Linked DNA regions of Arabidopsis thaliana. The protein of the gene in region 1 interacts with the protein of each later gene in a pairwise test. Each region holds a gene or a part of one and is shown in the gene's direction. Other genes may lie near its edges.

Region 1 (3,818 bases):
CTGGTTTGGTTTCAGTTTGGTCCTATCGAGTTCGGATTAAGACTTTGATAATCTATAAATACTTGAGTTGACTTATAATTATCATGATAAAGTTGAGCGGTGGTAGTTCAAAGAATTTTTAGTCTCAATCCATATAAGAAAGGATAGGAACAGAATGCATTGATCCATTAAAGGAATGTCAAAAAATTTCAATATCACTACATTTAAGGAATGTCAAACTTCTTCTAACTACTTTTTTAACTACCAAAATCTGAACAATTATCAGTTTCAAAATCAATCTCCTAACAATCCCCAATTTATGAAGGCTTATAGCAAAAATAAAGACTTGTTTTAATTAATTTGGACACAAAAACCCCATCTTTTTAAATTAAACTTTTGCTATCATCCTTCATAAACTCTTGTTTATTTTTTATCCGTCTTTTTAGTGAAATAGATCATAATAATATCATTTTAACTCCCAAAATTTTTCTAATTACCTTTTTAACTACCCAACATCAATCTCCTAACCATCAACATAATATAACAAATTATGGTTATCCACCAAATTTCTTTATATCGTCAACTGTTCCAAACTATCCTTCATATTTTAAAATATTTAATTTTTACTTATTTTAATTTTATTTGATATTAATTGTAATTAATTAATCACAAAAAACATAAACATAATTAAAATAAAAAATATAAAATAATGGTAGGGTAATGTGTTGTAATTTTATTAAACAAAACTATTGTAGTAAGTAAAAATTATGTAGGTATTGAATTATAATGTGGAGTGTTGAAAAGAGAAAAGTGGACATTGTAACCATGTAACTAATGTAGATAGTCTAACAGGTACACTAGTTGTACATGTTATTTTATCAACAATAGTTCTCTTCCTACTAATTAGAACAATTCAAGTCTAGTATCCATATATTATAATATAACATCTTACTAGTGCATGGGTTATTCAAAGATTCAATGATCATACAAAACATAAATCTACAAACTAAAATTCCCAAATAAAAATCATAAATCAAAGCCATCTCATTGAAGTTTCAGCTTTAACAAACACAAAATTAGCATAAAAACGATCAAAGAAAAAAACCTAAAAATCAAAACTTCAACTTCCAATATCTCTATTCCAATATCTTTCCTTCGATTTTTCTGTATGTCTTCCAAATTCTTTTTGTTTCCCTAATTGCTCAAGAAGTAATATCTTCGTCATTCTGTTTTTATTCAAGGTACATAGAAAGATTGATCCTAGACTACATCAAATTGGGTGTAGTCAGTGATATAGCTTCCCCGAAGTTAGCGGTTTTCGAAATCTTTTTGAAGCGGTTTCATATGATCGACCCAGAAGATTTTGGTACTACGACGTGACGAGTGGTTTTCAGAAGAACACATCTTCTACACGTGTCTTTAGGCTAAATTATACGTGCAAATATTTTTGCTAACTTCATTATGATTTAGTTATTTGACCGTTAATTTCCGCTTGTATTCCTCTTTGAGCTTGACCATTCTGTTTTTTATCTGCTTTTGGTTTTTAAATGAAATCGTTTGGTCCGTCCACAAAAAAAAAACAGTACCTATCCTCTAAGCCCGGCCCATCCCGGCCCATCCCGGCCCATCCCGGCCCATCCCGGCCCATACCGGCCCATATTTTAGTAATTATGGTTCCTATCTTCGTCTTCTTCGTTCAGAAATGGGAAGCGAGAACCATAGATTTACGTCAAGATAGCTTTTTTTCTATCAAGAATCGCAAAGCTATTTCGCGTAACATTACAATCGTCGTTCAGAAGAAACGAATTGGGTTTGACAAAGCTTCGATATTCAGGGAGATTTCTGGGTTAATTTGTGAAAGAATCAGAGAAATTTAGAGTTTTTTTTTTGGGGGTAAATTTGAGATGAAGCCACACGAAGATTGGGTTTATGAATCATGGACAGTAGATTGTGTTTGTGGTGTGAATTTTGATGATGGTAAAGAGATGGTTGATTGTGATGAATGTGGTGTTTGGGTTCATACATGGTGTTCTCGTTATGTTAAAGGTGATGATTTGTTTGTTTGCCACAAGTGTAAGATAAAAAACAATGAAGATGAATTGTCCAAGTTATCGGTTACTAAATCGTTGAGAATGGAGAATTTATGTACGCAGAGTAGTGAGAGTGTTGTATTGAAGGCTTGTTCAGAGATACCAATTGAAGAAAGGGTTCATGTACAAGGAGTTCCTGGTGGTGATTTGGGTTTGTTTGAATGTGTTTCTTCGGTTTTTAGTCGGCAGTTATGGAAGTGTAGTGGTTATGTGCCTAAGAAGTTTAGGTTTCAGTGTAGGGAGTTTCCTTGTTGGGATGAGAAGGAGAATGTGTGTGATGTTGTTGGGGATGAAGATGATAGTAATCTTGCTGGTGTTTTGTTGTCTATGTCGAAAGAAAACGGTGTGGATGGTAAGGGAGACAATGCTAGGAATTGTGGTTCTAGAGAAATTGAGAGTGATGTAGAGAAAGAGAAGAGCTTGCTTTGTGATCCTTTGAGTATATATAAGAGGAGAAACGAGTCGGTGGGTGGTTTTGAAGATGGGGTAAAGAAGAAGGTTAAAGTTGCTGATAAAGAGGAAGAATAATGATGTAAGAAGGCTTTGATTTGGATACAGAAGAGGCATTATGTGTTACACAACCAACATTTCTTATTTTAATAGATTTCTTACACAAGAATGGTAAGGTTTATAACTTTGTCACTAGTTTAGATTCTTAACCTTATATTCAGATATAACCACAATGGTTCATGGTTTCATTTGTCTTTGCAATCAACTAACAGTTGTAGGATACTTAACATCCACATAATATGCAATAAAAAGTGTAAATTCTTTCCATTGATGATAAACTCGATTGCTTGGTTTATAAGTTTGTGTAGGTCAAATTAGGAGCAAGAAAGGCTTGTTTTATCTTGATGATTAACTCAATCTTAGTCATTCATGTGAGCGGTTCGCAGTTTCAGGATTAGTAGGCGCTCAAAATCTTGAAGGCTTCGCGGACTCTCCTCGCCCTCCGTCCTTCCATAGATGAAGTTGAATTCTCTGACAATTCTCACCATGAACAATTTTAGGTGATTTCAAATAGATAAGAAAGCTCTTGTTGGAAGGCAGTGCACTAAAGGGTCCTGATATCCTACTTGTATTCCAAAAAACTCTTCTCTTGAATATGAAAGGCTGCAAAGCGTTGGTGCGACTTCCAAATTGTTTCCGGAACTTACGGAGTATATGCAGAATTTTGTGCTTTATGGAACAAGAATAAACTTGAAATGCCAAAGTTATTGCATTGCATTGAGTCTGTTTTATGCTTAAGTGCAACTGTGCAAGCTAACATCAGCCATCTGATATGGCTTTACTTCAAGAATCGCTAGAAGCTCAAATCTTAAGTGCCACATGGTTTATGTTTGATGTTTTGTGTCGCTTGGTAGGCACATATTTAGTGGCCATTGTTGTAGGATCCAAATCGCTAAGTAAAAGAAAAGTCTCAATTCTATATGAAACTCATGTAAATCCATTAAAACTCATTGGAGAAAAGCCCTTAATTATCCATATAAGCCCGTAACGAGAGAGTAAACCTAAAATTTCGTTAGACAAAAAGAAAACCCTAGCCGATTAATATCCTTATAAATAGATAGGTAGTCTCCTTAATTTTCTCCTTAGTCAAAATCTTAGAGAGAGTCCGAGGAAACCCTAGCCACCGTCGTTGCCGTAACTCGTTCGCCTGAGGATAATGATCAATTGGGTTTATGCTAGAGTTAAATCGGGTCTTGAAAAGAGAAGGAAGTTGCATGCGACTCCTTTATCTCCTCAGCA
Region 2 (4,813 bases), 700 kb from region 1:
TTTTAAAGGGTTAAAAATTGTTTTAAAAAGGTTTTAAAATATTTACAAGGGATTTTAAAAGAGTTTTAAAAGATTTACAAGGTATTTTAAAAGGGTTTTAAAATATTTACAAGGGATTTTAAAGGGCTTTAAAAGATTTACAAAGGTTTTTTAAAGATTTTTAAATGGTTTAAAAGTGTTTTAAAAGATTTACAAGGTATTTTAAAAGGATTTCAAAAGATTTACAAGAGATTTTTAAAGATGTACAAGTGTTTTTAAAAGATATTTAAAGAATTTACAAGAAGACCCTTTAAAAACTCTTGTAAATATTTTAAAATCTTTTAAAATCTCTTATAAATCTCTTAAAATACTTTTAAAATCTCTTGTAAATTTTTTAAAACCCTTTTAAAATCCCTTGTAAATATTTTAAAACCCTTTTAAAATCTCTTGAAAATATATTTTTTCCCAAAACAATTTTACAAGGATTTGCATAATCATTTTTTTGGCGGGATTTTTCTTTTTGGTGGGAAAAAAGTTTGCCAGAAAATTTTTTTGGCGAGAAAAATAAATTTTTGGTGCAAAAATTTGGTGGGAAAATTTCAGTTTCTAATTACATGTTCCTATTAGATGAGGATAATTTGGTCATTCTGTTCAAGGGAAATGGTATTTTTAAAAAAGGACAACATAAAAAGATATTGTTGCAAAAGGGTAGTAAAAAAAGAGTAGTTTTGCAAATCTCCCAAAATTCTGTAAGGGTTTAGGTTTAATATTATTTAATTATAATTATATTGCTTCCTTTTTTATAAGTTTAAATTTAATATTTGTTATTTTCGTTTTTTATTTTAAATTTTAAAATGGAAAGTAATTATTATTTTTAAAAATGTTAATTAATTAGATGTTAAATATGTTAATTATTGATGTGACAGCTTCCGATTAGTTGTTTTAAAAAATGTTAAATAATTAAATGCTAAATATGTTAATTATTGATGTGGCAGCTTTCGATTGGTCGTTCTAAATCCTATGTGGACGGCTTTAGAAGCAAATAGCCTCAACTTTTATATAGTATAGATTTTCAGTTTTTGGTGTTCAATTTTTCGATCACCGGTTTTGATGAGATTGAAAAACTCTGTGGGAATTTTTTATGGCCGGGCAACCCGAACACCACACGAGTTGTAAAAGTGCTTTCAAATTATTTTATTTATTTTATAAACATTTAAATCTTAAAAATAATATATGAGAATTAAAATTAATAAATAAAATTTTAACCATAAATTAAAAACGAAAGTAACAAAAAAAATTTAAAAAATGAAGTAATTTTTTTTTAAGATTGTAATATTTTTTTTAATAGGATGGTTTTTTATTCTTTACTTTTTTTCACCAGCGACCATTTTATTAAGTTAGGAGAACTAATCCGGAGTCGATGTACTTACATGAAAAAGAAAAAAAACTTCGTGTTCTTATATTTTTTGTTAGGCAATCAACACAGACATTGTTACAACAGAGAATAACTCTAATATAAAATAAAGACAAAAAATTTCAAAAGCTTTTTTAAAATATTGTAATTCTTCAAAAGCTTTTAAAATGTTGTAATTCTACAAAGCAGCTCAACTAAATAAAAGTTGCATTTTGCAGACATACGAAGTCGCTAATTTTTCACATATCGGAATTGGACCGAGAAGGTGGAAACTACGCGCCTCCATCGAGAGTGGTGTAAACCATAATCTATTACATAAAAAAAAAGATAACAAAAGAGACGTTAAAGCAATGTTTCTCTGTTACGCGCTGACGCATCTCTAACCTTTTTAGGTTCTGTACTATCTTTATCTTTTAGTCAAGTGTTAGAAAAGTATCTTAATCAGACGGTTAGGGTTCTTTATTATTACTAGCCGCAATTTTTTTATTGAAACAAATAAATAAAAAAATAACCCAAGAACAACAACAATCTGGTCTGCTGATGTATTAATTAAAGAAAAAAATAAAACAGAGCAAGAAACAAAAAAAAAAATGTAAAGAAAGAGAAAAAAAGCTTTCGTAGTGTCTATTGAAACCAGAGAAAAGCCAAAGGGGATGCAACCAACATCCGTCGGTAGTAGCGGCGGTGGTGACGACGGAGGAGGCAGAGGAGGAGGAGGAGGGCTAAGTAGAAGTGGACTATCTCGGATCCGTTCAGCTCCAGCGACTTGGCTTGAAGCTTTACTTGAGGAAGATGAAGAAGAGTCTTTGAAACCTAATCTTGGTCTCACCGATTTGCTTACCGGGAACTCGAACGATTTACCGACAAGTCGCGGCTCGTTCGAGTTCCCGATTCCTGTTGAGCAAGGGTTGTATCAACAAGGTGGGTTTCACCGACAGAATAGTACTCCGGCGGATTTTCTTAGTGGTTCTGATGGATTTATCCAAAGCTTTGGGATTCAGGCGAATTACGATTACTTATCGGGGAATATCGATGTTTCTCCGGGAAGTAAGCGGTCTAGAGAAATGGAAGCACTCTTCTCTTCTCCTGAGTTTACTTCTCAAATGGTAAACCAAAATTAGTTCTTAAATTAGGGTTTTCTTATACTTGCCAAAAATAGGATGAACTTAACTGACTTATTACTTGTTTTAGTTAATTTGCTGACCAAGTTCTCGAGATTGAAAAGACCAGTCTTGTCTTAAAATTGACAACTTGTGTTTTTCTGAACCAAACTAAGCAAGTTGCAGTTTCTATTTTAACTCAAAAAAAAAAAAATGGCAGTTTTTGTTGTTGGCTCTGTGGCTTTAATGTGTCAATGTGAACATTAAAGAATGCTCCTATGGGTAAAGTGTTTAGAAGACCATAAGTCCACATGATGATACATACTTCGGTGGTTAATGTGTACAAATGTATTGATTCTCCACACCTTTTGGTACATTGGTCTACTTAGTATTAAGTAACTACACTTGATCAAAATTTTGGGAACATATGTGTTACCTATGTGTTGATTAAGGTATTAGTGCTGATTTGCGCTTTTTGGAATTTTTTTCTGTAAGTAGAAAGGAGAGCAAAGCAGCGGTCAAGTTCCTACCGGAGTATCAAGCATGTCGGATATGAACATGGAGAACCTTATGGAGGACTCTGTTGCTTTTAGGGTTCGGGCTAAACGTGGTTGCGCAACTCATCCCCGCAGCATTGCCGAGAGGGTAAACAACATTCAATCTTTATTTTCAATGTTTTGGAAGTGTAGTGATCAAGGTTCTCTTAACTTTATACATTGAAGTTTAGTGATACAACTTATATCTTTACTTTCAATTTACGGATGTTTAATGATGCACTGTATGCTTCATTGAACAGAGGATTGTTCTGTTCTGGTCAGTGTATATTTATCTTTACCTTTCATTGTGTAGGTACGAAGGACGCGGATTAGTGATCGGATAAGGAAGCTACAAGAGCTTGTACCTAACATGGACAAGGTAATATAATTTTCAGCTTAGGTATAATCTGATGACCTCGGTTACACAATTATATTGACTAGAAATAGGTCAAAGATTATCTATGCTTAAATCAAGTGTAGAAGTTAGAGGTCAAATTAAATATGACTGTTAATGGTTGTGATGCAACTTCAGAGACACGGTTCTCAGCTCTGTAACTAAGTAATTCACAAACTGTGGAATGGATCTTGATATGGACTTGAATTGTTGTCACCTCGATCAAATAAGTATGAACTTGGTTTCCTCTCTATAGATTATGAACAAACTGAGGAAAACTTTTGGTTTTGGTATATATGGAGATTTGGAATCTAGGCTTTGAGTATATCGGTTAACTTTTTTGTCTTTGTTGCAGCAAACCAACACTGCAGACATGTTAGAAGAAGCAGTAGAATACGTGAAAGTTCTTCAAAGGCAGATCCAGGTAAATTATCTAAGTTAATATATATACACACAAAACCTTTTAGAGGAACCCAATAGATGAATTAAAAATGATTAGTCAACAGTATATAGTAAAAAGAGTTATGAGTTGGTTTATTTTGGTGTGGATAATATAGGAGTTAACAGAAGAACAGAAGAGGTGCACATGCATACCTAAGGAAGAACAATAAGGTTTGCTCCTGATTTGTTTTATATTTGCTTAACGGCAATGATCTGATCGAAAAATTCGAAAGATGATCTTAGCTTGAATTTAGATGGATGTCATGTTGAAAAGTATATTATTTGATAAATGGATGTAGGTGTAATATAAAATTTTTGTACAATAATGAAGAAAGTTAAAAAGAATTAATGAAAACATATATTCTTTATGATATTAGTGAAATGACTTTGATTTCATGTTGTTTGATTATAGTAAAGTATTTTCAAGATGTGTATTACAGTGTTTTTAAAACTCATTCATACAGTTACAGCTAACATACTAGATTACTAACCATCATGGAATAAGATTGCTTAGTGGTGCAACCAATCCGCAACGAGTTTGCAAACGAGGACAGAATTGCTCGATGTTTTGTCGAACCGGCAAGATAATCGGGTCTTTGTTTATTGCAGTGTAGATTAAATCTTATAGCGAAAAAGGGTTAATCATCTTACTAAATCCGCTGCAATCAGTTTCGAAATAAATCATTCCGCATACCGCGCTACCAAAAGTAGTGTAGTGTCAGGAGTTCTTAGTGTAAAGACATGAAATATATTTGAAATCCTTTCAAACCAATTAGATGAATCTGGTTGAAGCCATCAAATTAAAACCAAACTGGCTGCACATTTTTGTTTTGGTTTTCCATGAACCATCAACTTGAAAACAAAGAACAAGGGAGTTCAAAACATAGAAGGGATGATAAGCTCTGGAACGACTCCCATGCCTTCACCAATGTACTCTGCTACACCTAAT

Evidence for each region. Proteins that work in one complex are often made in the same cells at the same time.
Region 2: the proteins of AT4G10600 (region 1) and FBH2 interact in a two-hybrid assay, tested with the Arabidopsis thaliana proteins (one large-scale study listed by BioGRID).

The regions. Positions count from the first base shown.
Region 1 is NC_003075.7:6,546,713-6,550,530, reverse strand, and holds AT4G10600 (RING/FYVE/PHD zinc finger superfamily protein), read left to right. Parts: upstream 1-1,652; 5' UTR 1,653-1,883; coding exon 1,884-2,597; 3' UTR 2,598-2,690; exon of another isoform or gene 2,691-2,862; intron 2,863-2,965; 3' UTR 2,966-3,296; downstream 3,297-3,818.
Region 2 is NC_003075.7:5,845,467-5,850,279, forward strand, and holds FBH2 (basic helix-loop-helix (bHLH) DNA-binding superfamily protein), read left to right. Parts: upstream 1-1,845; 5' UTR 1,846-2,046; coding exon 2,047-2,499; intron 2,500-2,991; coding exon 2,992-3,138; intron 3,139-3,342; coding exon 3,343-3,408; intron 3,409-3,778; coding exon 3,779-3,847; intron 3,848-3,980; coding exon 3,981-4,034; 3' UTR 4,035-4,297; downstream 4,298-4,813.